Linked DNA regions of Notamacropus eugenii. The protein of the gene in region 1 purifies or fractionates together with the protein of each later gene. This does not show direct contact. Links are inferred from orthologs where the notes say so. Each region holds a gene or a part of one and is shown in the gene's direction. Other genes may lie near its edges.

The links.
Region 2: the proteins of HDAC2 (region 1) and SP3 purify together in Homo sapiens (affinity purification with western blotting; 3 studies listed by BioGRID). This does not show direct contact. The link is inferred for Notamacropus eugenii from reciprocal best matches to the Homo sapiens genes HDAC2 and SP3.
Region 3: the proteins of HDAC2 (region 1) and SP1 purify together in Homo sapiens (affinity purification with western blotting; 11 studies listed by BioGRID and IntAct, with this or other methods). This does not show direct contact. The link is inferred for Notamacropus eugenii from reciprocal best matches to the Homo sapiens genes HDAC2 and SP1.
Region 4: the proteins of HDAC2 (region 1) and TRPS1 purify together in Homo sapiens (co-immunoprecipitation; 4 studies listed by BioGRID and IntAct, with this or other methods). This does not show direct contact. The link is inferred for Notamacropus eugenii from reciprocal best matches to the Homo sapiens genes HDAC2 and TRPS1.

The regions. Positions count from the first base shown.
Region 1 is NC_092873.1:195,219,230-195,226,450, reverse strand, and holds the start of HDAC2 (histone deacetylase 2), read left to right. Parts: upstream 1-4,219; 5' UTR 4,220-4,575; coding exon 4,576-4,627; intron 4,628-7,221. UniProt on the Homo sapiens protein: Histone deacetylase that catalyzes the deacetylation of lysine residues on the N-terminal part of the core histones (H2A, H2B, H3 and H4).
Region 2 is NC_092876.1:236,039,394-236,046,515, reverse strand, and holds the start of SP3 (transcription factor Sp3), read left to right. Parts: upstream 1-4,113; 5' UTR 4,114-4,243; coding exon 4,244-4,250; intron 4,251-4,856; coding exon 4,857-5,002; intron 5,003-5,399; coding exon 5,400-5,513; intron 5,514-7,122. UniProt on the Homo sapiens protein: Transcriptional factor that can act as an activator or repressor depending on isoform and/or post-translational modifications. Binds to GT and GC boxes promoter elements. Competes with SP1 for the GC-box promoters.
Region 3 is NC_092874.1:226,343,111-226,350,102, forward strand, and holds the start of SP1 (transcription factor Sp1), read left to right. Parts: upstream 1-3,986; 5' UTR 3,987-4,128; coding exon 4,129-4,135; intron 4,136-5,036; coding exon 5,037-5,173; intron 5,174-5,562; coding exon 5,563-6,992. UniProt on the Homo sapiens protein: Transcription factor that can activate or repress transcription in response to physiological and pathological stimuli.
Region 4 is NC_092875.1:130,539,799-130,547,497, forward strand, and holds the start of TRPS1 (zinc finger transcription factor Trps1), read left to right. Parts: upstream 1-4,680; 5' UTR 4,681-5,151; intron 5,152-5,507; exon of another isoform or gene 5,508-5,883; coding exon of another isoform or gene 5,884-5,893; intron 5,894-7,699. UniProt on the Homo sapiens protein: Transcriptional repressor. Binds specifically to GATA sequences and represses expression of GATA-regulated genes at selected sites and stages in vertebrate development. Regulates chondrocyte proliferation and differentiation.

The DNA.
Region 1 (7,221 bases):
CCCTAATCTTTCTTATACACTACCTAATTACTAGTATCAATCTTAGACATAGGTTTTACATTTTCCATACACAAAATTTAGTCCCTTACAACTGGTCATTGGTATGTACCTTATATTTCTCTTGGCTCTCCTATGTCAAAGCGTCTATTGTGTTTGTTTTGTTTTGTTTTGTTTTTTTAACAGATTCCTGAAAGTCTGACAATTGACCAAATGTCCATTTTTTTTTTCCATTCAAAATTACTTTTAGCTTTGCTGTGTATGATATTTTCTGCCAAAAGCCCAGTTCTTTTGCTCTTCAATATATAGTGTTCCATCTCTCAAACAAAAATTTGGGACAATCATTGATAGTCCTTGGAGAGACATATAATGTAATCAAATGAAGAAAATTATTGGACAGCTTCTACTTCACTTTGAAATATTTTGGTCACTAGGTACTTTAAAATTTTAAGCCTCAAGGGTGGATCCTAATAGCACTATATTACTTTGCCCAACTTTATGCCCACAAATTCGATGATCTAAATGAGATGGATGAATATTTTAAAAAATACAAATTGCCCAGATTAACAGAAGAGAAGTTGAATACTTAAACAACCCCATCTCAGAAAAAGAAATTGAACAAGCCATCAATGAACTCCCTAGGAAAAAATCTCCAGGGCCAGATGGATTCACAAGTGAATTCTATCAAACATTTAAAGAACAGTTAATTCCAATACTATATAGACTGTTTTTGAAAATTGGGGAAGGAGTCCTCCCAAATTCTTTCTATGACACAAATATGGTTTTGATACCCAAACCGGGAAGAGACAAAACAGAGAAGGAAAATTATAGACCAATTTCTCTAATGAATATAGATGCAAAAATTTTAAATAAGATTCTAGCAAAACGAATACAGCGTCTTATCACGAGAATAATACATTATGATCAGGTAGGATTCATACCAGGAATGCACGGCTGGTTCAATATTAGGAAAACTATTAGCATTATTGATTATATCAACAACAAAACTAACAAAAACCACATGATTATCTCAATAGATGCAGAAAAAGCTTTTGACAAAATACAACACCCATTCCTATTAAAAACATTGGAGAACATAGGAATAAAGGGAACTTTCCATAAAATAATAAGCAGTATCTACCTAAAACCTAATAGCACTATATACTCTGTTGAAGCTGTTCAAACCCTGTGAATTACCATGTGGCATGTACTGCCATGTAAAAGCAAACACCATGATTTTGGGGAGATTAGGTTTAAGCCTGAGGCTATTTCACTTTGGGTCAACACCCAAGTGTGAATCTTGTAATATACCTAGTATTTCCCTACTATGTTGCCTATGGTGTTGCCACATTAGCACTAGATGAAGAAAAGAGGCCTGGCAAGTGAAAACATGTTTGTTTGAAGAATAATTTTATATAAATAAAAAAAGGAGTGACTCCACAACACACATGTTAGTGCCCCCTATAAATTAAGTGATATTTCTTGTTTCCCTGTTTTGTGCTTACATCTCTGTATGCAAATCCTCTCTCCCCAATCCCCATTAGAATGGAAGCTTTTTGAGGATTTTCATTTTTGTCTTTAGACAGTTCCTGGCATACAATAGTTGCTCAAAAATTGCTCTTAGCATTGAATTGAACTGAACTGAGTTATGACCAGAGTCTAGTTTTTAGAGCAAGTATAGCTATTAAATTCATATTAATAGTGTAGAGAGTCCTTACAAAGACATAGCTGGTGGCCCAGATTCAAATTTAAATAGGGTCCTCAAAAGGAAAGAATCTGAAGGTGATACTTTGTGCATTGATAGATAAGGAAACTCAGTTTTGGAGAAACAGAATTAATTGCATAAAGTTGAAGGCAATTTTCAATTATTCAGGGAATGAGTATCATTTGTGAATTGTCCTTTTGATGATTTTATTCTTTTTGAACATTTGTTATTTTATTGGGTAAAAATTGAATCATTTTGTTGCTGGTTACTCTGATAAAAGGTTTGGTTATTGATTTTTAAAATGGCGGTCTATCCATTTTTTTAATGCTCTTCATTTGTCCACATTATTTTCTTTATTCATAACAATAACCAATTTGCTCTTTAAAAAAAAATTTTAGTTCAGAATTTTTAAAAATATAGAAAATGTTTAGTAAATGTATGTTGATTGATTTGAATTCTCCACCTATCACCGTGATGTTTTTCTCAGACTACTTCTAGGCTTTGGAGCTTTTACACTTGGTACATTTCCAATTATCTTTTGGCTATAAGCATCCAAAATCTAAAAATAAGTTACAAATACATTTTTATTAGTGTACTTTAAGTATGGGCCCCACTACTATCATTGACACCACGTACAGTGTATACCCCACGTGTTCATGGGGAAAAGTTTTGTTACTATTGGTCTCATGATACCATCTTAGTAAATGCCTTTGCTTTGAAAAAAGATTAATTGGGAAGAGAAGTTATCTGTTAAAATTTATGTGTCCTCTAAGAATAGATGAATATGAAATATTCAGAGAAGAATGGAAAGATGTATGAACTGATAAGCCAGAAAAACAATATACATGATAACAACGTAAATGGAAAGAATACCAACAAAACCTCTTGAATTTTATATATTTGTAATGATCCAACTTGGCCCCAGAGAAGAGTTGTGAAAATTAATCTCCCTCCTTTCTTGGTAAAACTATGTGTGTGGAACATTACATATGTCAGAAGAGATTGATATGTTGGCTGATTTTGAAGAACCGCTTTTATTCTTCTTTCTTTTTTATTCTTTATTACAAAGAATGGCTCTCTGGGGATGGGAGATAGATGGGATATGTTCAGAAATAAAGCTGTTGTAGAAACCAAAGATTTTTAAAGTTACTCATCATGACGTACCCTTGGGGTAGTGTCAGTAGTAATGGTGGAACACATACTTCAAGTATATTAGTAGAACCATTTATTCATAACTCAGTTTTATTCTTATGCTGGAAATGAACCAGTTGTAAAGGCAATTGTAAGAAATCGTCTAAGAAGAAGACCACAACCACACTCATCACTCCATGCTTCATCATACTCATGTAGCAAGACAACAAGTGGTTCAGAGGGATGACTGACACCGGAGTCTATGGGGGGTGAAGGGGGCGGCAGTATCTCCCGTCCTTCATGCATTATTGATGAATCTTGAGAAGATACAATTTTGTCCGCAGCCATCCCAGTAATCACACCCCGCAGGGCACACAAACCTACCTCAAATTCGCTTATCCATTTACGGATCCCACACTATACACAGAACTTTGTGCTAGGTGCCAATGGACATTTTCCTTTCTTAAAAAATTGACTTTTGGGGAGGAGCCTAAACTTCCAACAAACTTAACTGTTTTCTTCCCAACGGCTAACACATTTAGGATTTATGGGAGAAAATGCAAAAGAGTCAACTGAACGCATTTTTTTTTTTGCTTTTCTTTTTAGACAAGGAACCTACAGAGCTGGGAGGTCCTAGCACGTGGGACCGCTAAGGGGCTACTGAATGAAGGAGCTTTGGAAAGAGAAGGGCTTCAGCGTCCAAAAAATGCCTTCTCTTTCAAGGAACTATTTCTTAAGAAAGGAAGTGGGGGGTGGGGGGGAGAAGGAAGAAAGGGGTGGGGGAGGAAGGGCTGTGTCGAGGGGAGAGAGCGGCGGCCCGTATGAACTCGCACATGGATTCCTAATTTAATTATTTTTAAGTGAGCCAGTGAGACGTTCAGGGTCCACGACGGCAAAGATGGTGACTGGTAATAAGAGGACTAAGAGGAGGGAAGCTCGGGCAGAAGTGAAAGGGAAGCGCAGCCGCACAGGAGAAGGGGAAAGCAGTGGTCTCTTCCAGACCCCTACTACCCCCTCTGGCGTAGAACACGTGGTTTGATCCAGGCGGGTACACTGGTGGGGACAGCGAAGGAGGAGGGAGGCGTAGGTGGACGCAAAGAAGTCTCGGGGACTGATGCTTCGCCTAGGAGGAACGGATGAATGCGCAACTGCGCAGGCGCGGAGTCGGCGCTACTATTTCGCCCTCGCTGAAAGAGAGGGGAATCCAGGCAGCAGTTCTGACTATTTAGTTGTTAAATATACTTATATTCCCATCTTGCCTCCTAACTTCCTTTTAGTTACTTTCATTTTCTTTACTTATAAAGAAATAGCCTATATAAGGCGTTTTTCCGCCAAATCTCGAGAGGTCTTTTGCACTACTTCTCCCAAAGCCGGCACAATGGGCACGTCCCCGCCTCCCCAAGCTCCCGGGAGGTGGTGGCGAGTCTCCCCCACCCCCCTAGCGTCGCGACTTGGCGCTGCTTCCTCCCCGACTCCACTTGTCGGCCCCCTCTGCCGGGCGGTGCCGATTCCCCCTCCCGTCACCCCTCCCTCCTTTCCCTCCCTCCCTCTTTCCTTCCCTCCCTGCCCGCCTGTAGCGCCCCCGTGGCCGCCGCCACCACCACCACCACCGTTCCAGCGCAGGCCATCCTCTGCTCCCTGCGCGCTCCCAGCCTGCCGCGGAGGCGGCGGCGGCGGCGGCTGCAGAAGCCCAGGAGCCCGAAGTCAGCAGCGACAGCCGCGGCGGCGGCAACGGGGAGCCCATGGCGTACAGTCAGGGAGGCGGCAAGAAGAAAGTCTGCTACTACTATGATGGTAAAAAAGGCCGACCCTCAGCGGGAGCGGGGAGCCCGGAGCGCGCTAGTGGGGCTGCAGGCTCCCCTTCACCCTCCCCCCACCTTGCACTGCACCTTGGCCTTCCCTCTCCCACCCGGCAGGGGGGCGGGGAGGCGGAGAACCTGAAATTGTGATGGGTCGTGCCCTGCTGTGAGTGAGGGGTGGTCGCCTGTCTCCCTCCCTTTCCCCCTCCGTCCCCGCCCCCGCCCGGTGTGCAGGCGGGAAAATGGGCATCTCCTTTTCCCCACCTACCCAACCATCCCCATCCTCCTCCCCCAAAGTCACCACCCCCTGGGGAGCCCGCCCAGGCTTCTTTGGGGTTGGGGTAATGGCGAATAAGGCCCGCCCTTCACTCCCACTAGCGTGCGTGGGGAGGAGAGCTGGGGGTTGAGGGCCGCGACGAGAAGCGCATCCGACTTGCACAGCCGCCCCCGAAATGATGGTTTCTAACACGTTCTGGGCTCACACAAAGCGGTGCATCCCCCTCCATCCCGGGCCCCGCCTTCTCTCCCCTCCCCCCGTCAGCCCCTTCCTCTTTTCCCTCCCCTCCCTTTCTCCCTCCTCTAACCCACCTTTAGCGCATCCGCTGCAGAAGGTGGCAGAGAGTTTTCCCCCAATCGCCAGGCCAGGGTGAGATGGCCTCAGACACTCGGCTTAAGGAATGATCTTTGTCCATCCAGTTGATGGAGCCCCACGTTCTCAGGGCCGGTGGGATGAAGAGGGCCCCTTCTTCCACCTCTGCGGCAGAGCCCTCGATGGTTTTCAGCCTAGGATTTCTACCGACTTGGAGACGTGCGGTCTAGTAATTAATTAGAACTAGGAGGAACGCGAGGTGGCCAGGGGACGGGATGTATTTGTTGCTACTTGTGTGTGGGAATCAGACCCGACGGGGCCTGGCCTTGGTGAAGCCTCTGTCTGTCTTAGCGGTGCCAAGTTAGACGTGGTTGCCGCCCACTTCTTTGTTGCTCTTTGTTCAGCCAGGGGTGTGTGTGTGTTGGGGGGGAACGTTGTGCGAGAGCCCCTCTTTAGGAGTTTTCATACCCCTTTGGAACCTTTGGTAAAGTAGAATGAGAATCCTGGTGAAGAAAGCACTCAGCAGCAGTTTAGAAGTGATGTCTGATTGCAGGTAGTTGAGTCCTTCAAGGGTCTGGGGGGATTCCATCCACTGGTACATATTCACCACCCTTCTGCATCTTGTTTAGAGGCTCTTCAGAAATTGATGTAGCTGAAAACAATCACCTTGTGGCCAGCCTGGTAAAAAGCCTCCACTAACACCTTTCTCCCCCTTAGTGTCGGTGGGACTTGATGGCACTTGTCCTGCACTAGTGTATCCTGAAGTTATCCCCACAGCGGAATGAGGCATCAGAGTAGGGCCCGAGTGGAGAGGGTGTAGATATTTTCAAAGTATTGAAACAAATTATGCTGGAGAGAAAAATCCCAAAATCTAGCAAAGGAATTAGACTTCTTGGCCTGATGTGCCTTTACAAATTTGTATGAAATGAACTCAAAAGCTTCCCTTTATAAGCCAGCCTTTTCCTAAATTTGACATGGTTTCTTTTGGAAAGGAACCCTATAAGTTATCTCTCCCAACATAGAATCATAGTGATACCAAAAAATAGATGTTGATGATTTGCTTTTGGATTTTTCTTTAAAGTAATATCCCATCTTTCTAGTGAAAATGACATAACTTGACATAATTTTTCTTATGCCTGTTTTATGAACCCCAAAATAACTCTTTATCAAATGATGTAAAAATTTTAATGGGGATTTTATTTTATGGCTATGAGAATAAAACAATAGTTTTGTCTTTGTTAGAAATATACTTTCTAGGAGGCTTAATTATTTATTCTAAATTGTTTAAAAGTTGTATCTGGGGCTTAAGATGTCTTAATAAGACTTATAATTCACTTTTCGTATATATTTTGGGGTGCCATAAAATCTTTTGGCTTTTTTTTAACTGAAATAGACTTTAATTATTTATATAGCAAGTGATTCTTTTTATTTAAATATAGTTTTGGAACACTCTTTTTTAAATTGATATTGTAAGGGAAGGTCTGAAGGGATCAGGGAAACCTGATCTACAGAACGCTTCAAACAGCTGTTAGTTGGTCTTGGCAGTGAATTGTGGGCTCTGAATGGAGTAGGCCAGCCTGCACTTTTCTTCTGGTCTTAGTAACATCTGTGGTATCCAAGGAAGAAACTTAGTTTCTTCTTTTCTTTCTTTTCCCTGGTAGCACTCTCTCTTTAAAACTTAGCATATTTGTGTACCTAATGTATCCCTGTTAGTAGATTGTAGAGTCCTTGAGAGCTGGGACTGTCTTTTTTTTCTTTTTTTTAATTTTTGTATCACCAGCCTGCTTGCACTAAGTGTTTTAAATAAATGTTAGAATTGAGTTGACCCTACTAATACTCTGATGATTTTGGATTATTATGGTTACTACATGGTGAATATATTCAGTTTTTTTGTTTGTGGTAGGGCAAGTAATCCTAGGTAAAATGATAAAATAGAAACAATGAGAATAGCTATAGAAGTTAACTTTGTCAGCGTTCCTTTATTGTGGATTGCTTTAGTT
Region 2 (7,122 bases), on another chromosome or scaffold:
TGGATGTGCTGAATTAAAGATGTCTGCTGGACATTTAGTTCAAGATGTCTGAAAAGCAGTTGGACATGTGAAACTGGAGGTCAGCCATTCAGTATCCTTAAATGTAAAATGGGGATATTAATGTTTACTGGCCAGGGTTATTGGGAAGATTAAATCAGATATTGGTAGTGTTTAGCAGAGGGTCTGGCATATAGAAGGTACTTAATAAATGCTTCTTTTCTTCTTTCCCCACTACTAAATAATCTTAAGTGGCTCCCTCTCACTTCCATGCTATTTGGCATATAAACCCCTTTACAACCTGGCCCCCTTCCTACTTTTCCAGTCATTACACTTTACTAACGTCCACATATTCTATGATCTTCCAACACTGGCCTATTTGCAGTTCCTTACAGACAACACTCCACTGTCTTTTAACAGGCTGTCTCCCCATTTCTGGAATGCTCTCCCGGCTCACCTGGCTTCCCTGGCCTCGGTTAAAGACTTACTTCAAACCTTATTTTATGCTAGATGCCTTTTCCTGTCTCTCTTCCCCCATCCATTGCTAATGCAGATTCTGAGATTACCATTTACATAGACTACCTTGTAGGTACATAGTTATTTGCATTCTGTTCCTCTGTTTGAATATAAGCTCCTTGAAGGCAGGGACCATGCTTTTGCCCTTATCTCGACAACAGTCTGACAAGAGGTAAATGTTTAATAACTGTTAACCCATTGTTTGGGCAACTGGTCATTTGGGGAGGCCTAGGAAGAGATGGAAGGAAAAAAAGCAAAGGAAGTTCAGCCTCTTTCAGCATGGAAGTAGAATACTTGTGGGTGATGGCAAGATTAATGGTAGCTGAGGCAGAGTGAAGGAGATCATGGAAGTTGGGTAGACTGAGGAACTTGGAAGTTATGATATTTGAGGGAATGTGTACATTGATGTTGCCTGAAATAAGAGACCAAGTCGGTTTGAAGAACACTGTGAGCCAGGTCCTGAATTCAACAGGAAAGCAGAGAGAATATCTTCCTTTCTTAGAAAACTTTTAGTCTACTGACTTGAGGTCTACAACAGCTACCAGAGTCTAGTCTTAGTAAGAAAAGATGAAGACTTTAATGATTCTGGTTGTAGTGGACCTAAGAGAAATGTATAGATTTAAGAAATGTTGTGGAAGTAGAATCAATAATACTTGACAATCAATTAGATGTTTAGGATAGTAGTGGAATTAAAGATGACATCCACCAGTTTAAAAGCTTTGGTGACTGGGAAGATGTTGATGCCACGAAGAAAAAATAATTAGAAGGAAGATGATTTGGCGGAGACAATTTCTGTTTTGGACAAGTTTAAGGTTTAGCTGACTACCCAGGCAGAGATATTCAAGAAGCAAATATGTAACTGAAGCTCTGAGGAGCCTTGGTGGGTAGAGATATGAGGTGAAAATTGAGGCCATGAGAGTAGATAAAGTAAGCAAGAGTCTAAAGAGACAACCAAGACTCAAGCCATTAGCATATAGAAAAAAAGTTAATCTTGGATAGTGTGATGAAGGAGCACCACCACTTTGTGATTAATTCTATTTAAGAAGAGAAAAGGATGTGAAGATCATGTTAACATTCCAAGTCAGGAGAACTAAAAGAGCCAGCAAGGCTCTTATCTCTGCAACTCTTAAGTAACTAGCATCCCTTAATGGTAAATAACTGCAACTCTTACTCCCTGTGTATTGTAGCAATTGTTATTGAGAAGTTGACACTAAGAAAACAAGGTAGTTTGGTTTTTTTTTTTTAAACCGCTTGCTAAGATTTGATCAGAGTTCTAGGACACTTAAGAAAAGGTCATTTGCTCTCCCTAGATCATACTTATCTTGATTTCCAAGGAAAATAAAACTATTCTATTTCACTGATTTTCAAAGCATGGAATAAGTCCAGATCATGACATGAAAGGAGAGGGATCACAGACAAGAGTTGGAAGACACCACGGAAACACTCAAATCCAACACCCTCATTTTTATAGATGAGGAAACTGAGGCGGAGAGAGGTTAAGTAACTCACCTCTGGTCACACAGGTAATGTTGGAGACAGTATTTGAAGTCTGGTCTTCCAGACATCAGGCCCAGGCACTAGGCTATCTAATCTTAGCTAGCTATACCCACTGAGTTAGGGCAGCAATACAAATGTCCTGAACTCACAGTGCAGAAGAACAATGAGCTCAGCCTGGAGGTCAGCTGTTTGGGCTGCATTTGAGAAACGGCACCAATATGTCAAATTCAGTTGAACAAGTGTTTATTGTCTATTATATGCCAAGCAAATGCTAGGCACCTGGGCTACGAAAACAAAAATGTCTCTCTTCAAATTAACATTCTACTTGGTGGTGGAACAGCTTGTAAAAAGATTTGTAAATACAAAATAATTTCTGGAGAGGGCATCAAATAATTGAGGGAATGAGTCCTTATGTATATATTGTACATTTACTGCACCACTTGTGTTCATAGAGCTTTGAATACCACATGAAAATGAAACCAAAAGAGATAACCAATTGTGCAAAGATGAACTCCACCCAAGAACTCCCATTTCAAAAGATCATTTCCGTACGCTCATGGTTTTTTAGGTATGTGAATTAACTTCCTGTCAGTTCTAGGTTTAATGCAACCAAAACTCAAAAAGTTAAAAAAGACTGCCTTGGTGATTACAAGACAAGTGCTTTAGCAGTGAGATGCAAATTCAGAAGAGCTCTTTCACCAGGCAAAAGAGATTTTGCTAGTCAGATTCCGGAGTTCAATGCTAGTAGTTCTGGGGCTTCACAGCCTGGTGAAGTTTTCTACTGGAAGAATTTATTTACAATGGTCGGAGCAAGAAAGCTTTAGTGCTTTTCAAAAAATACAGAGCTGGGGTGTTATGGACAGCATTTTCACCTCTTGCTCTGAACTGCTTTTTTGGCAACCAAATCTGGAAGTGGTAGGCAGAGACATTTCTTCCAATTGGCAAACAAGTCCTGTACTTTCTCCTACAGTGACTGAATAAGACACAAAGAATCCAAATAATCTAAAGCGGGCCCAATAAATGAAATGAGTCTAAATTAAAGCATAAAATTTAAAATGCTTCAAGAAAGAAAACGTTATTTTAAAGAAGGGTCTGGCTCAGCCCCAAGAGAGATTAAGAAGCTTGGAAAAACGCAAGTTCACGAAAAATAAGAAGTGTGCTTCTACTCTATTATCCTAGCTCAGTTGTGAGTATATATGAACAGGCACACGTGGACACATACATACACACAAGTATGTGTGTATGCATGTGTATATGTATACATATACTACACGTAGAAGCCTTTAGGTTTTCGGGTGCTTTGGCCCTTTGTTGGGTGTGAAGATCAGGAATTCTTTTTGTTACCATCCCTGCCTGGGGAGAGGCGGCAGAGCCTGAAAAGGATGACAAACCCAGTGGCTTTACAGAAAAGGAGAGCAAGAGCGAGCGAGGGCGAGGAAATCCTCCTCCAGCCTCGGAGGGGGTGTCTCCCCCAATACCAGCGCCCTCCCCCCGGGCTCGTGGGGCGGGTCTGGTTTGCTCAGCAGCAGCGGCGACGAAGGCGGCGGCGGCGGCAGCAGCCCCGGGGCTCAGCCACGGCCTCCAGGCAGAGAAGCAGCGGAGTCTCGGGCTGAGCGAGGCCCAGGGGAGATCCGGCCGCCGCCAGGATGGAGGACTCGCAGAGAGGGAGCCCAAGCCACAGGGGACGGATTTCCTCTTCAGCCCACCCCTCCTCCCCAACGCTGGCGCCTGGCGGGGCCTGCACGGCTGGCTCACGAGCGCCAGCAAGGCGGGCGAGGCCTGGACCTCGGACTGGGGAGCGGCAGCCGGCAAGCGAAGCAGGCACAGCGGGGTAACGCGCAAGCAGAAGCCGCGCTTGGGAACCGACGCCGCCGCGGCCACTCATTGTCTCTCCTCTTCCACCCGGGGGGCAAACAGGAAGCGAGGCGCCCGGGCGAGCGAGCGACGGGCTTCCCAGCCAATGAGAGAGTCCGGCGGGGAGCGTAGCGACGAATGAACGGGGAGAAGAGGGGCGGGACTTCCGGGCGGGCTGTCACCCTCTTCCCCCCTTTCGGGCTAGAGGCTCCACCTTTTGTGTTTCCCGCACAGTCAATCAAAATAGGAAAAAAAATCCCCCGGACCGCTCCGGCCGTGTCCGCCGCCGCTTCCCGCATCCTCTCCCGCCGCCGCCGCCTCCGCTCCTCACCATGTGTAAGGCGGCGGGGAGTCCCGCCTGAGGTGCTCTAAACACACTATGACCGGTACGTAAAGCAGAGTGAGAGAGCACTCCCCGCAGCCAGTCCCAACCACCCCGGGGCCGTCGCCGCCGCCGCCTCCGAGTGTGTGTGTGAGGCTGGGAAGTGTGAGTGTGTGCGAGGCGGGGAGGTGGCACAGCCTCTCTCCCTGCTTTCTCCTTCCCCTGGCCGCCGTCCGCTCCTAGGAATCCCGTGCCCCCCCCCACCCCCAAAGCGCCGTCCCAAGCCTGGGCCCCGAGTCCCGCTGGGAGCGCATCCCTCCGGTGTGCGTGTGGGTGACCGACCGTGCGAGAGGAGAGAGCGCGAGTGAGAGCGGCGAGGAGGGAAAGGGGAGGAGAGGAGAGGAGAGGGGGCAGGGGCAGCGCGGGGAGGAGGAGGAGGAAAAGAGGAGGAGGAGGAGGAGGGTTACAGGCAGCCGTGGCGGGCGGGGGAAAGAGGAGGAGGGGGAGGGGGGAGCGAGCCACCAGCCCGGGGGGTGGGGGAGAGGGGGAGAGGGGAGGGGAGGGGGAGGGGAGAGATTGTCAGCCCGGGCTTTCTATAGTAATTTCTAGCTCTCACCGCCCGGCCCCCCCCTCCTTCCCCTCCCCCTCGGCCCCCCCGCGGCGCCTACAGCTCCCGAAAAGCCTGTGAAACAAGAGGAAATGGCTGCCTTAGACGTGGACAGCGGCGGCGGCGGCAGCGGCGGCGGCGGCCACGGCGAGTATCTGCAGCACGGAAACGGCGCGGCGGCGGCGGCGGCGGCAGCGGCGGCGGCCCAGGTAAGGAAGGAGCTGCTCCGGCCCATACCCAAAGTCCCCCTCGCACTCTTTCTCCTCCCCTCGCCTCTCCCCTCCCCTCCCCTCCCGTGCCCCCGCCCCCGCCCCCGAGGAGCTGGCCCGCCCGAGGCGCCGACGCGCCCAGCCCCCTCCCCCCGCGCCCTCGCTCGCGCTCCCCTCCCCCTCCCCGCGGTGCCCTCCCGGGGGGTTCCGGGCGGGCGGAAGGTAGAGGCCCGGCGCGCGGCTGGTGGGGTGTGCGCGCGCCGAGAGCGAGAGCGAGAGCGAGAGGGCGGGCGGCCGCTGGAGGGAAGGAGTCGCACTTCCTGTGGGAGCCGCGCTCGGCTGTAACCGCCACCCCCTCCCCTCCTTTCTCCTCTCTGAACCCGCCCATTGGGGGTAGGACACTCAGCCGTCACCGCTCGCTCTGCTGGCCGCTACCTGCAGCAAGATAGGGCCGCCATTGCCCGACGACGAGGAGGAGCCGGCCGCCGCCGGGAATCACCCCGCCGGGGCGGTAAGTCGGGCGCGCTCGGCCCTGCCCCTCCCCCAGCCCGCCCCCCCTCCCCGCCCCGGCCTGCCCGGGGACCCCCCCGCCCGCCGGCCCCGCGTCTGGGGCCAGAAACAGGGAGCGGGCCAAGGAGCCGTTCGCTTCGCTATGCTCCCTCCGCCTCAATCCGGAGCCAGCCCGGGCTGCCCCTCCATTGTCACGGCGCCCCTCGCCGAGGCGCCCGCTCCAAAATGGATGGCGGAGCGGCGCCGCCGCCGCCCGGGCCCGCTCTTTGTTGTCCGGGGCGCCGCGGGCTCGGAGCGGCCCCTGCGGGAGGGCCGGGCCTTGGCGGCCTCCTCCGGGAGCCGTGGGGATGGCTGTCGGGGCAGCGGCCGCATTGTTCAGCCTGCCATTTGCATAAGCAGCCCAGACGAGTGTTCCGTGCGAAGGCGGGACGGGATTTACCGCAGATGCCCCAACGAAGCCCTGGCCTGGTCTTGGAGAATCTGTACTTGTGTGCACGCTAACGTACGCCCGTGGTTTTGTCTGCCAGAACCAGTCACATGTGCACACCTGGCCCTGCTTCGGTCATTGTTCGGGGCGATTGGGACTGCCGGGCTGACAGGCGGCTTGAGAGTGCTGTGGAAGTGTTTGGGGGGAAATGGGAAAACTGGTCAGTTTAAAACGAAGGTCCACTGCGGATGACCTGGAAACAATTTTTGGAACACTTTAGTTTTGAACTTCAGGATCAGTGTTGCTACTTCAGTAACTTTTCAGCATATTTCAGTTATTAAAATGGACCCCAAATCACCCCAAACCGTTCTTTGGTTATAGTGAGTGTGGCAGTGACCTTATTCATATTTTTAAGATATACTGATTATTCAGATTGCCAATAAATACTTGTTGTTTTCTTCCATGTTTATAATTAAGTGACCTCTGTGGATTTCCAGTTGAGCTTAAGACTTCTGATGGTTTAATTTTTTATGTTATAAATGTGCAGAGCTATACACTACAGAGATTTGAAATACTTTGCCAAAGTGAAACACAGGATTCAATTGTTCTTTAAAAAAAAAAAACAAACCTACTTCATTTTAATGCACTAAAAGTGTAATTTGAAGAGTTTTTTTTTTTTGGGGGGTGGCAGGAGCAATATTAGATAAATTCTAGCTAAAAATGATGTAAAAGATATAGCTGTTATAATGTAAGCTAAAGATTGATAGTCTTAATCAATAAGTATCAATAACATCCCTTTCCACATGGCACAAAAATAGATCAAATGACTGACAGGACTTGTAAAAGTATAATTGTGAAGTAGGTTCTTTTATTCACTTAATTTTTATCTGTTTAAAATATAAAGCAAATCTTTTTTTAGCTGAAACTTAGCAAGTTTAGTATCAGGTCACAAGTGGGAGGTTGGGAGGAATAGGAAGAAGTATGTGTAAACATAGATAGATGTATGTCAGCCATGCAAGTAGAAGGGTACCTGCTGGTCACTTGTGGCAGGAAAGAAGCTGCTGCTACCTCTACTTTTAGCTCCTCCCTTGGGCTCCTTGATAGCAGGAAACCAAAGTTCCCGCCAGGTGAATGTAGGACAGAAAGAGAGAAATAAGAGTAGTTTTTGGCACATGTACATGAA
Region 3 (6,992 bases), on another chromosome or scaffold:
TATTAAGTAGGTCAAAGGCAGAAAGAAGGGTGGCATATACATTAAAATATTTAGTTAATCAGCGGCTTAATATGTGTCAGGCATTGTGAAGTGCTCAGGATACAAAGAAATGCAAAAAAAGCAGGGGTTACTCTCAGGGAGGTTACATTCTAATGGACAGACGGATATGTAGAGTTTGTGGGGGAGGTGATCTTCTAGGCAAGGTACTTGTCATGGGGGTGGGGGTGGTAGGTGGGACTAGGAAAACCTCCAGCAGTAGGTTGGATTTTAGTTGAGATTTGAGGGAAGTCAGAGGCAAAGGTAAGGAGGAAGAGCACTTCGGGAGACTTTGAGGACAGCCAATGAATGGGCACTGACTCAGAATGGAGGAGGCCTGAGTCACTAAAGGTAGGAAGGGGTCGGGTTGCGACAAACTTTAAATGCCAAGAAGCATTTTATATTTGGTTCTGGAGGTAACTGGGAGCCATTACATTTGATTGAGGAGTGTGGTAGCAGGGTCTGATCTACACTTTAGGAAAATTGATTTGGCAGCTGAACAGGGAATGGGTTGAGTCAGCTGTTCAACCCGGGGCCCCTGGTCACCTAATCTACCTACCCTCAGGCTTCCTACCCCACCCACCTCCCCACCCACTACTACCCCACCTACCACTCCACCTCTCTAGTCTCTGAGATACTTTTGGTGGTAGACTACCTTGAAGGATATTCCAATATTCTTGGTTTGGGGTGATGTGAACCTACCCCAGGGTGAGAGATTTTATAGCACCTTGGTAACTGATTAGATATAGGGGAGGGGGTGAGAGTGAGTGAGGAGTCAAGGATGGAACCTAGGTTGGCCTAGGAAGATCTTAGTACCCTAGACAGTAATAGTGAAATTAGGAAGCCCCCCCCCACTCCCTTCACCCCTGAAAGATAATAAGTTCAGTTTTGGACAAATTGAGTTTAAAATGCTTGTGTGGCTGTTTTTTGTTGCCTGTAGGCATTTGGAAATGTGAGACTGGAGGCCAGGTTGGGCTTGGATGAGTAGATAGGAGAATCGTCTGCATGGAGATGATAACTGAATCCATGAGAGCTGATGAGATCACCCACTAAGTAGTATAAATGGAGAAGAGGGCCCTGCACAGAGTCTATGGCTGGAGGTGCTGTGCTGAGTTTAAAGTCAGAGGTTTATCAGTGTATTGATCAGAACTCCAAAGTCTATCATAATTGCTTTTATCTATTATGTATAAATTGTTCTCCTTGTGCCAAATTTTCTCTGCATCGGTCACAGAGGTCTTTTCCAGTTTCCACTTTCCATTTCACTATTTCCTATGGCAAGATAATAATCTTACATTCATATACCATGATTTGTTTAGCCACTCCCCAACAAGTGGACACCTGAGAGCTTCTAGCCTTTGGCCACTACAGAAAGAAGTGCTGTAAATACTTTTCTACAGGTACATCTGTTTTCCTCTTTCTTGTATTTCTTTCAGGTCTAGGCCTGGGCTGGTATAGCTGGATTCCAAGGGCACATAAGAAACGTGGTAACTTTCTGGGCATGGTTCTTAACTGCCGTCCACAATGGCTAAACCCCGTCACGCTAAGAACCTCCTGGAGTGCCTGTGATACTGAAGCTTCTCCAATGTTTGTCATTTTCCTCTTGTATTTCCCAGTTTGATAGGCGTGAGGGAGTATCTCTGGGCTTTTGTTTTCCTCCCTTTGTACTTCTCTAATTATTACTGATCTAGCGAATTCTTGCACGGCTATCGATGAGCTGGGATGTCTTCCTTTGAAAACCTCTTGGTCCTATCCTTGGACCATTTTTCAACTAAGTAACGGCTCATAAAGAAATCTGAATCAGTCCCTTATGTGTTTTGGACATGGAACCTTTCCCAGAGAAACTTGCAGCAAAGATTTTCGGCAGTTACCCATCTTCCTTTTCACTGCATTAATCTGTGTGAATATTTTTACAGTGGATGTGATCCAATCTCTCCATTTTACCGGAAGTGGTCACCCTTAGACCGTTTGATCATGCACCCTATGTGAAAGGCAATCTCTTCTGGGCCCCCTTAACGAACTCGGGGTATCATCTCTGGCTTCTAAGGCCTACAGCCCTTTGGAATTTACCTTGGCACGTGTTCTGCAGGTCCATCCTTCATTGGTGTCAAACCGCTTCCCAGTGTCCCTAACAGTTCTTGTCAAATAGAGTGATTTTCTCTAGCTCCATTCCGTGGCACATGATCAGAGGCTGGGGGGGGGGGGGGGGGCAGGCTCTTCTTCCCTACTGGGCGGTGGGATCCTTTGATTTTAAATTTATTTTAAATAAAATCCTGGGTGCCCCGCCCTTAGACCAGCATTTATGGAGCACCTACTAAGTCCTGTAAGTGAAACACTCCCTGGCTTCTCTGAGGAGGTCACAGTCTGTACGAGCTGGGATCCCCCGCTCTCGGGGGGGCTCCCCCTTGGGCCCCAAGCTCTCCCGCACGCACCCCCACGCCAGGCAGGCCCTAGGCCCTCTCCGGCTCGGGCCTTGGCCGCAGCCTCCTCATGGATCCCTTCTGCTGCTTCCGCAGGCCTCACCCAGACTGTCTGCTGGGACAGAACTACAGAAAAGGAGGAGAGCCTTCGGGGTGCCCCGGCAGCTTCACTGCCTCCCCTGGCAGACGGGGTTCCTGGGCTTCCCTGAACTGTCCCCGGCCTAAGGGAGGTCCTTGATGCTTCCCCCCCTTCCTTCTTTCCTCCCTCACATCCGTGTGCATTTTACTCATCTGAGTTAATCTGGTTTTCCCTCGTTCACAGTCTTATGACCTTCAATAACGTCGATGTACTTGGTGACCTTGCGTCCCCGATTTCCGGCATAGTTTGGATTGATTAGGGTGGAAGCCGGCGGAGGGGACTTCCCCAGGCCTTGTTCTGTGGAGGTACTCGATCTGAATTTGGTTCGATGGCGGGGGAAAGAGGGAGCCCCGCGTGCCCAGAGCCTAACCAGGGGTAAAGCTGGGGTAAGCAGAAAGGAGGACGGAACACGTGCCAGGAGCGACCTCCGGCTGCCCCTCCCCCTCCCTCCTTCCCTCCTCCCTTCCCCCCCCCCCCCCCCCCCGGAGGGCCAGGCGTGGGACGCGGCGAGGGGGTGGGGGTAGTTTCCCAGAGCTCCAGTCCCCGCACGGGCCAGGGCGGAGCAGGAGCAGGGCTAGGGGGACGGAGCGAGGAGGAGGAAGGGGGCGGGTGGGCTCCCCACACTCCGCCCCCGGAGGCTAGAGCCCCGCCGCCAGCTCGCTTAAGGCTCGTGAAGACGCCTAGGTAAAAAAACAACATGGCGGCAGAGGACTATTGGCACAACCCCCCATTCCCTCCCCAGTACAAGGCGCCACTGGCCAACGCCCATTGGCCAATTTAGGGCGGTGCCCGGCTAAATCTGTTTCCTCATTGGTGGAAGGGATTCAGGGGAGGCCGATTCCGCTCTCTCAAGCTCTGACTTCCCTCACAAAACTTATTTCGTGGTTTATTGGTTGTCCTGTCACGTCAATGTAAATTTAGTCCCGTCCGCTTCTAGGAATCTTCCAATGATGGCTTGCCCAGGCACCTTTCTGGTTTGTGATTGGTCACCTTCAGATAAATCCGCCCCGTGTGCGCAAACCTGTACTTTGCGGAGCCATGTCCAAAACTCTGATTGATCCTCCCTCTCGTCATTTCTACAAAAATCACCCAATCCTTGCGCCGTAGAGAGCCCGCCTGGTTGTTGATTGGCGAATTCACAAGTCCATCTTTAAAAGGACCCACCTCTCTCTTCGAGACCCATTTCTTATTGGTCTTTCGAAATGGAGGGCCGATCCTATGAGGCAAACGCCAGCCACGCAACGCCCTTCTGCACAGCGGGTACCGCCCTAGCGAGCCAATAATCCTTCCCATTGGTCGATCGATCCGCCTCTCTTCCGTAAGTCCCTCTTTTCCCCCTCCCTCATTGGGCGGGGCAGCGGCCGATGGGCGGGGCCTAGGCCGGGCTTGTGGCGCGCTGTTCCCTCCTCCTCACCCCCCCCTCCCTGTCCGGTCCAGGTTCGCTTGCCTCGTCAGCGTCCGCGTTCTCCCCGGGCCCCCCCTAACCCCCCCCGCTGCAGGACCCCCCCTCCCAGAGCTCGTGCCCGCGCTGCCACCATGAGCGGTAAGGATCCGTGCCCTCCACGCTGGGGGCTTGGAAGCGGGTGAGGGGGCGCGCGCGCGGGCCAACCGGGCGGTCCCCGCCGAGAGGGGGGGCGGGCGGGAGGCGGCGGCGGCGGCCTTGGTCCCGCCCGGGGCGGAGGGAAGGGGAAGGGACGAGGGAGGGAGCGAGCGAGAGCCGGGGCAGTGGCGGGGCCTCCGAGGGGGAGGGGGGATGGGCTGCCCGCCCCGGGGGAGGGGGCAACGCGGCCTCGCCCGCCCCCTGCCCGCCCCGGCCACGGGGGACGGGCCTCCCCCGGCCGCCGCCCGCCCGCCGGGCGGCTCGCCCGCCCCAGGCTCCTCCGGAGGGGGCGCCGGAGCCCCGCGGGCCCCGCCCGGGCCCTCCGCCTCCCGCCCGCCCGCCTTGGGGCCGCTGCCGCCGATGCCGCCGCCGCCGCCGCCGCTGCTGCCCCCGGCCTCCTCCCCCACCCCGCCGTGGATCCCCCCCACCCCTTCGGGGGGCCCCCCCACGGGCCCGCCCTCGTCCCGCCCATCCCTCCGAAACCGCCCTGGCCCCCCTCGGCCCGCCTCCTCTCCGCCCCCGAAACCGCCTTCTCTCCTTCGGCCCAGGGACCCCCACCCCATCCCCACCTCGGGCCGCCGCCCGGGCCCCCAACCCCTCTTGTCCCCCCATCCCCCGGAGGGCTCCCGGGCCCGGCTGCCATGCCCAGCATCCCGCCTCCCGCCTCCCCGGAGCACTGGCCCCTGCTCCCCGGCCGCCTCCTCGCGGCGTGCCCGGAGACCCCGCTGCCGCCCCGAGGCCGAGATGCCCGAGAAAGGGGCCCCCGCAGGCCAGCCCGGCTCGCCCCCCTCCGCCCCCCGCCCTCGCCGCCTCTGAACGTTGTGGCCTCTTTCATCTTCTCCAGACCAAGATCATTCCGTGGATGAGATGCCCGTTGTGGTGAAGATTGAGAAAGGCGTCGGCAGCAACGGGGGCGGCGGCTTTTCCCAGACCCGCAGCAGCAGCACCGGCAGCAGCAGCAGTGGAGGAGGCGGCGGGCAGGTGAGTGCGGCCCGGACCTTGGGCCTGGCAGCGGGCCTGGGTGCGCTTGGGCAGCGAGCGGACGGGAGCCTGCCACTGGGGCGTCCATTGAGCGGTTCGGGGCATTCTCTCAAGCGCTAGCACGTCTGGAGGCCAGGGCCTTGACACGGAGCGTGAGTGGTTCTGGCCTCAGATTGTGTTCCGTGGTAGTGCCTGAGAGACCCACGCCTTGGTGTGCTTCTTCAGACCGTTCTGGACCGCGCACTGGGTCCTTTTTGGACTTGCCTGACTCCTGTGATATGTTAGTGTTTATGTTTCATGTAGTAGACCGTATTTTGTCTTGTGTTCTTGGTGTTTGTGTGACTGACACGTGACACATCGATAATCTCCTTCCTTTCCTCTCTGACCAGGAGTCCCAGCCATCCCCACTGGCTTTGCTAGCAGCCACTTGCAGCAGAATCGAGTCACCCAATGAAAACAGCAACAACTCCCAGGGCCCAAGCCAGTCAGGGGGCTCAGGTGAGCTGGATCTCACAGCAGCCACACAACTCACCCAAGGTGCCAATGGTTGGCAGATCATCTCTTCCTCTGGGGCTACCCCTACCTCAAAGGATCAGGGTGGCAGCAATAGCAATGGTAGCAGTAGTAGTGAATCCTCCAAGAACCGCCCAGTTTCTGGTGGACAATATGTTGTTACCACCACCCCCAACATACAGAACCAGCAAGTTCTGACAGGACTTCCTGGAGTGATGCCTAACATTCAGTACCAAGTAATCCCCCAGTTCCAGACTGTAGATGGGCAACAGCTGCAGTTTGCCACTACTGGGGCCCAAGTGCAGCAAGATGGTTCTGGTCAAATTCAGATAATACCTGGGGCAAACCAGCAGATTATTACAAATAGAGGGAGTGGAGGCAATATCATCGCTGCTATGCCAAACCTGCTCCAGCAGGCTGTCCCCCTCCAAGGCTTGGCCAATAACGTCCTCTCGGGACAGACTCAGTATGTGGCCAATGTCCCAGTAGCACTGAATGGGAATATCACCCTGCTGCCTGTCAATAGTGTTGCTGCGGCCACCCTGACTCCCAGTTCCCAGGCAGTCACAATCAGTAGCTCAGGCTCTCAAGAGAGTGGCTCGCAGCCGGCAACCTCAGGGACGACTATTAGCTCTGCTAGCCTGGCAACCTCACAAGCCAGTTCTGGATCCTTTTTCACTAATGCCAGCAGTTACTCGTCCACAACCACCACCAGCAACATGGGCATTATGAATTTCTCCACCAGCGGAACAGCCGGGACCAATACTCAAGTCCAGACACCACAAAGGGTCAGTGGGCTTCAGGGCTCTGACTCTCTGAATGTTCAGCAGAACCAGACACCTGGGGGTACGCTCCAGCCTACCCAACAGAAGGAGGGAGAGCAAAACCAGCAGTCACAGCAACAACAGCAGATCCTCATCCAGCCTCAGTTAGTTCAAGGGGGACAGGCTATTCAGGCCCTCCAGGCTGCCCCACTGTCAGGCCAGACCTTTACAACCCAAGCTATTTCTCAAGATGGTCTCCAGAACCTCCAGCTTCAGGCTGTTCCCAACTCAGGCCCCATTATCATCCGGACACCAACAGTGGGGCCTAATGGGCAGGTCAGTTGGCAGACTATTCAGCTGCAGAATCTTCAAGTCCAGAACCCACAGGCTCAGACAATCACCCTGGCACCAATGCAGGGTGTCTCTTTGGGACAGACTGGCAACAGCAACACCACCCTTACACCTATCGCCTCAGCTGCCTCCATCCCTGCTGGCACGGTCACTGTGAATGCTGCTCAGCTCTCCTCGATGCCAGGCCTCCA
Region 4 (7,699 bases), on another chromosome or scaffold:
GAGCAGCTCATATGCACAAAGGCAGGGCCACATGGAGCATGTAAGACCTGGGCTCCATAGTGTGTGCTACTAAAGGAAGGGTGGGGGGAGGGAAAGACTTTTGGAATCCATGAGGGCATAAAGAGTTGGGTTCCCTTGGAGATGTTTCTTTTTCTTTACTGTAAAGTTGGAGGTAAGTCAAACTGCTATTAATAAATGCCAACAAGTCTATCAAATTTTGTGTCAACCTCAGCTTTGGCAGTATGGTTGATGTTCAATATTTTAAAATAATAATATTTATATAGTAGATGTAGTAGAAATGATGATAATGATTGGGATCATTATTATTATGCAGGGGATCTTTGGTCAGATTTCTTTCTAGGATGAGTCCATACTAGAAATTTGCTTTTCTTCTTGTTTCAAAGAAGCCCACACTTTCTGACTTTTCAGGTGGATTGCAAGGCCCATCTGTCCAACTAGACATTTGCCCGATGAGGCTGAAGGGGTTTTGGCAAGTGTAAATGAGAATTGGAATACCAGATATGAGGTGCTTAAATGTGAATTTATTTTAAATAATTACAGCCAGGGATGCTAAGTCTAAAGATACATTTTAGAAATGAAAATAGTCAGTAACTGATTTTTATTTTTAAGTAAGTGGGATATGGATTTGGAAGGGGGAAAAACAGACCCACTAAAACTTTTCCTTGATATTATTTCTGTTGTAATTCTTGCTATGAAAGAGTGCACAGTGCTGAAGTAAATGCTTCTGAAAGACTCATTATGAAATACTGGAAAGCAAAGTAGACTATACTAAAATCGTATGATATAGTGCTAACCAGAAGGAGAATAATACATAAATGTTTTCTTGATGATGTGTGCTAAAGCAAAAGGCATTTAGGAGCAGGGTTGTCAATCTCTGAGGGTTCTGAAAAGAATTGCTATTTATGACGTGTTAGAGTAAACAGTTGGATTACATTTCTGAAATGCATGTTCCATCAGGTAAAATCATTGTGATTACAGGCACTAGTACTGTAAGTAAGTAAGTTATGTGCTAAAAGGTTGAAATTGTAAAACAAGTATACTTATGCTTAACTGCTAATCCCTCTTTGTATCTACACTGAATAAACTACAAGAAAAGGGGGAAAAAAGGACATTTAAATAATGAGGCAGGAAAGGCATGTTATGTCATCTTGATAAATAATGGGCTTTATCCACCATAAGGAATCATTCTAACAGTGGCCCATCCAATAAAGATTATCCCAGAGTTAAAGGAAATAGGAAGGATTATAAAGAAGTTATTTCTGCTTCCCTCTGTTTAAGTAGATCGGTGTTTCTTTTGTTTGCTTTTAGATTTTTCTTAATTTCTGCTTTATTTTCTAGTCTGTCACAAAAAGCACAAGTTGGCATTTTAACCACTGTACAGAAATAAATTTAAAATAAGAACAAAATAAAAGAATGACTTAAAGTGCTTTGCATTTATTTGACAACAGAAGATAAAAAATGCAAATAAACCTTTAATATTCCCTTAATCTAGAGTATGCTATGCAAATGTCAAGACAATATATCTATAAAAACAAATCAACAAATATTTGAAGAAAATCAATATACACAACTTATTTTATATATTGAAAACAACTGTCAAACAATTATGACCTCATGTATTAGTTGGTTGTTTTGAAATATTCCTACTAGGATAAAAAAAGGGCTAGGAGGGCCTTTGAGCTTGAACATATTGTGTCAATCATGAGCATATGCAATGTATCTAAAGCATGAGGTAAAAATTTTCTTCATAAATTATTTCATAAATAAATAAGTAATTTGCCTGAAAAGGTTTACGAAAATATTTTGTGCTTTTATTAAGTTCTCTACAGATCTTTTGTGGTCAATGTAAATGGATTGATATTGACATCATCTTGATCTGCTTTACTTTAACTTGAAATATAGAAAGAAAGCAACTAGAAGAGATTTTCCTTTTTTTTTTATTTCAGGGAAATGTCAGTAACATTGAGTTTGTGAAAGAATTTATTAAAGCTTCAATTTTCAGTGATCATGAACAGCACTGATGGGTGTTAGTACCTGAAGTGTCACTTCAGCCTTTCATTTAAGGGACATAATTGATCCTTAGACAATTGGTCTTGGCTTTTTGTATAATATATAATTTAGGGTGTACTTGTTGGTAGAGTTTTACATTATTACAGGTAGAAAAATGCAGGTCATTTCAAAGCTTTTGTCCTTTTGAAGGCATGTACTTTAATTTTGCCCATTTATTTAATCATTGAGTATTTGCTATAAATAAGATTTGTATTCTTACAAGTTAAGTTGGAAATAAGGAGAACTAGGAAGAAGCTCATTTAACTTTAAAATTTCTTCTACCAATACAGTTTATCTATGTAAGATTTTTTTTGGAAGGAGAAGAGAAGAGGGTATAGAAGACAGCCCTTGTTATACATTTACTACTTCAACCTTGCTTCTAAGATCCTCTAGCCTCAGATAATTTTATTCAAATAACAGCTTCAGTCATTTTCAGTATTTTAACCCTTTAGCATATAAACTTTTTTGTGAGAGTAGCCTGGTAATTATCAGAAACATAATTTAAAGTCTACTACCTCGTATTTATATGGTAGACACACTCCATAAATCAAACTTTTAAGTATGTCATGGCAAATGAACGTCTTACTCCAATCTTTCTTTTTGGATACAATTCTTTTTGAGGTGCCACACATATTTCCATGTAGGTCAACAATTTCATTTATAGCTTTTTAAAAAAAATTAAAGGTCTATTTTAAAAATATAAATGTCTTTTACTGTGGAAATTGGTGGTTGACGATATTAAATGACTCCAGTGTATAAGTATGCAGATGGCTATTAGTAGCTGACTGTAAGATTTACTGAAGATTTTGATATTAATTTTCCCTTCATGCTGGACTTTATATAATATATATTGTATAAATGTAACTCTGTTCCAAAATTAATTTCAATTGATGATAATATATGAGTAGTTCTATGTATATAAGTGGTTAGTGTTCTTATCCCACCTTCAGGGAATATATTGTGTGCCTCATTGTGAAATTGTATTTTGACTACCCCTTTTGCTTGACAAGTTTCTCTATTCCAATGAATTATTGCCCTTTTACCCATAAAGAGTGTAATAGACACCTTACAAAAATACTTAGGGGATAAACGTGTACTAAAAAGGAATCGCCTAACAAATCTGCCTGTCTAGGTATGCAATAAACATAAATGGAGATCATACAAGAGAAGAATGATGACTCTAAAAGACATATGCTTCAGTTTTCTAATTTACATTTGATTTGCTTTTTCATCTCAGAAGATAGTCTATATCACAAAATATGTTTACCATCTTCCTTGTAAAGAAAGACGAAAGAACCATTTTCCGGGGAAAATATTTTTTGAGGAAATTACTTCATTTTTACCTAACATTTTCATGATCTTGCCTTTTTAATTTCTATTTTAAATCATTTCATAATTTTAATAAGCTGTTTCTCCATTGAGCACAGAATTAGTTCAAAATGACTTGTACAGAGGAAAAACATGTCACTTAAAGTCATCCAAGTGAGAAAAAATTATGTCCAAATGCCCAATAAATGTTTATTTTTTTTTAACACCTACTATGGTTTGAATATTCATGGTAATTTTTTATACGCTGATGAGCTTTAGAGGTGAAAAACATCATATTCAGAAACAGTCAGGAATTGATTAGAAACAATGAGGGTTCTCAAATAAAAATGTGAAATATATTTTTAAAAGTCTACAAAAAAGTCTATTCATGGCTCCTTATCTGTTCACAGAAAAGCCAAACAATAACTATTCATCTCTATGAATATTGGAAAGACATTCCAGTTTTATTTGCTTGATGGAATCCCTGAACTTATCCCAGAGAGGTATCCTTAGATCAGAAAAGTCCAGTAACATCCCTCTGCACTTTTCCAACTTAGGAAAAAGTTCAAGTTGTTCTGTCCCAGCTCTCTTGTAATAAAATGCAAGTAAAACACTAACCACCAAGGAGGTGGCCTTAGATTCCTTTATCTCTCTCTCTCTCTCTCTCTCTCAAACACAAATACACACACGCATAAATCCTGTGGAGTCTTAATAAAGAGGTAGGAAAAGAAGAGAAAGTAAATAAAGGAAGATAAAAATTTTAAAAGACTTAACTTTCATAGAACTCCTCCCCTCCTTTTAAGTCATAGCACCAGTCTCGGGGTCCTTTCTTGACATTAGTTCAGGCACCCCCCTCCCCATCCTCCCCATCCCCCGCTTTCCTTGCCCTCCCTTTAAGGTAAGTGCTTGATGGCTTTGCCTATTCCCCATAAAACTTTCAGACTCACCCCCCCGCTCCCCTTCACTACCACAGAGATATAGATAGAGAGGGAGGGGGTACAGTGCGGAGGGAGGCTGGTCAGCTTTTTAGATGGGGTCGTGTAAAATATCACGGTAAGAAAGCCCGGGTGTGTGTATGGGAGTGTGGGGGAAGGGGGTGGCTTCCCTTTCGGATGTTCCACTACAGTGGAGCTCTTTCAAACTCGTAATAATTGTCTGCTCCCAAGCCGTCCTTTCCCCCTTGGCGGCCGCAGCGGATGCTGCCTTGGGCTCAGGAGGAGGAGTTGCAGGAGGCGGCAGCGGCGGCGGCGGCGGCGGTACTGTCTCTTTAAGGGAGCTCAGGCTGGGGTGGCGCTTTCCTCTGCGAAGGCTCCTTTGATATTAATAGTGTTGGTGTCTTGAAACTGACGTAATGCTCGAGGTCCTGACAAGCGATAACATTTCTGATAAAGAACTGATCTCACTGCAATCTAAAGCCTCCTCTTTTTTGGTGCTTGTTGTTGCTCCAGACCCTGGGTTTTCGCTTTTTTTTTTCTTCTTTAAAACAGAAAAGCAAAAAAAAAAACAAAACCCAAAAACCCACATCAGGCACATCCTAGATCTATTTCCTTTCTCTTTCTCTCTCTCTCTCTTTAAAAGAGGGGGGGGAGGGAAAAGAGAGGGGGGGAGGCAGGAAAAACCTTTTTTTTCTCCCCCCCTCCACACCACCACCCCCCCGCCCCCCCTGAATAATCCAAGATCAACTCTGCAAACAACAGAAGACGGTTCATGGCTCTAGCCACCGCTCCACCATCTTTCGGGCTGCTGAGGTTATTATTGCCGATTAATCAACAGGTAAGGAGGAGGGGAAAAAAGGCAAAGAGGGAGAGAGAGAGAGATCAGCAGGAGGAAAAAGAAAGGCATGGGGGTGATCAGCTTTTCTTTCTCGCTACGTAAGATAATATTGCGCACGCTGAGTGTGGCCATGCTAAAGTGTTCTCTGTGTGTGCGAAATGTGGGTGAGCTGAGAGAGGAGGATTGGGAATTAAAAGTGACTTTCTTTGCAAAACGGAGAGAGAGAGAGTAAAAAGCAAAGCAGAGAGGCTTCTCGGATTTCACATGCATTTTTTTATGCGTGTGTGTTTTCTTTCTTTTTCCCCCCTTTCTTTTCTTCTCACCCCCCCCCCCTCCCCGGTTTTGGTGGGTCAAAGGCATGTGAGCCCTGGAAATTGGCGACTTCAAACTGCAGTAGCCCCTGGAGTCAGGAGGGTCAAGTTCAGCTGCTGAGGAGGAGGAAAAACAAATCCCCATTTGCCAAAAAAGAAGTTTCAGGGCTGATGTCCCCCCCACCCCCTCCCTTTTCCCCCGTTCCCCTCTCCCCCTCGTCTCTTTCTTTCTGATTTTAATTCCCTACCATCGGGCAAAGTAGAAGAGCAGGAGGAGATTGCAACTGAGGAGCTGCTGCAGTCATAGCCCAGGCTGCTGCTGCTGGTGTTGTTACTGCCGCCGCCGCTGCTGCTGCTGCTGCTGCTGCTGCTGGAAGTTTTATGGGAATCATGACAAGCGGGGCAGAAACTAGAGACCATCATGAAGAGTAGTAAGTTGGGAGAAACTTTTTAGGGTTGGGAAGGAATGAAAGGAGAGAGGCGAAGCGAATGGGGTCCTTTTCCTGGTCCTCTGAATGGCAAGGAGGACCTGATTCTGGGTGGCTTTGAGAAAACTATCAGACCCAGGCATAAAACTTTTTTTCCCTCTCTCTTTAGAGGCAGAGTTTCAGTGTCCCCATATTCTGGTGTCTGTGTCGGGAGTGGTTTCTAGAGTCTTGGGCCAGTTTGCTTTTGCGATTTTCATTTTGTATGACAGGGCTTTAAGAAAGAGACGGTTCTTTAAATGAATGGGGGCTGTGAGAAAGAGGAAGACTTCCTATTTTAGTCCATGATGGGAAAGTGTGTTGGGGGTAGTGGTGACAGTGGGGCTAATTATTAAAAGCTACCACAGTAGTTTGAATTTAAGTGGCCCATGGAGGGCTATGCAAGCAGTCTCTCAGCCTTCTGAAGCTGGTGCTCCCTGGGCTTTGATGTTGGTCTTGGGAAAAGGATCTTTGAAGGGCCATGGCAGACACCACTGTGCCTCCAAATATCTCCACCATTCTAGGACCCCATGAGCAATTTGAGGATGGGACCTGGGGTGGTAGTTGTTTGAAGTTGTTTTGTGACTTGGAGAGCTTTTTTGTTAGTACCTGCCTGAGATGGTGGTGTTTGCCTGGGGAAGGCAGTAACTTTTATGGCTTCAGGACTTTAAAGCAATTTATGTTTTTCGGGATTGAGACCGGATCTTCGACTCAGTAAAATTAGGTTCTCCATTCTCCCCCTTCCTCGTTCCCACTCCCATACTTTCAGATTTCAGAGTATTGATCGTTAGAAAGTTATGGGCAAGAAAGCTTTAAAAGATGAAGGAAAATAAAATTCAAATAAGATTATTTCTTTTCTCTCCTATTCTACAATTTGATGCTGCTTTTGAAAAATTGGCAGTAAACTTTTAAATGAGGAAATGTGAAGTATAAAGTCAGGAAGAGTTAAGTTATGCAGAAGTTAAGTAGATTTGTTAAACTTTTCTAAATTTACCTGGAAGAGAGAGGGAGAGGTCAGAGAGTCAGAATAAGTACAAAGGGGCAATCCAGATAGGGCCTGCCTGGGACAAAAATCATCCAGTAATGATAACTAAAGCCCTGCACTTTACTTACTTTGACTAATAAAAAGAATAAGAAAGAAAGAACCTCTAACTAGTCCATCAGAAATCTCTAGCGATGAAGTGAAAAACCTATGGATTTTGATGGCATCAAATTACTTTCCTCTTGTTTTTAGGAAAAGTTGATCATTTGGAAAAGATTGCCAGAGTTAGAAATGCAAGGGGGCAAAGGAAAGTAATGGTGAAAGCCAGTGCTTGACGTGGACGAAATGAGAATGAAAGTTTCTGAACTGCATTCACTGTTTTTGAAGTTCTTACATGATGTGCATTCAACTAGAAAGCTGTCTCAGATATTCCACCACATTAATGTAAAAAAGCAAACAAACTCCAAAACGGCGAGAATTTTTTTTAATAGTATGCCAGGGCTGTGAATAAATACAGGGCTTGTATGAGAAAATGAAGTATTTCCTGTAAGTTGTCATGCTGACAACGCTGTCTGGAAATAATACTAGCACTTTAAAGATTTTATTTTATTTTTTTTTTATTTTACGTGAGTTTATTAATGACTTGATTTATCCAGCAAGTCAAAGCTATTCTCCTTTGAGTTTATCTCCTCCTCCTCTGCCTTCTCCTCCTCCTCCTCTTCCTCTTCCTCTTCTTCTTCTTCTTCTTTCTCTTCTTCTTCTTCTTCTTCTTCTTCTTCTTCTTCTTCTTC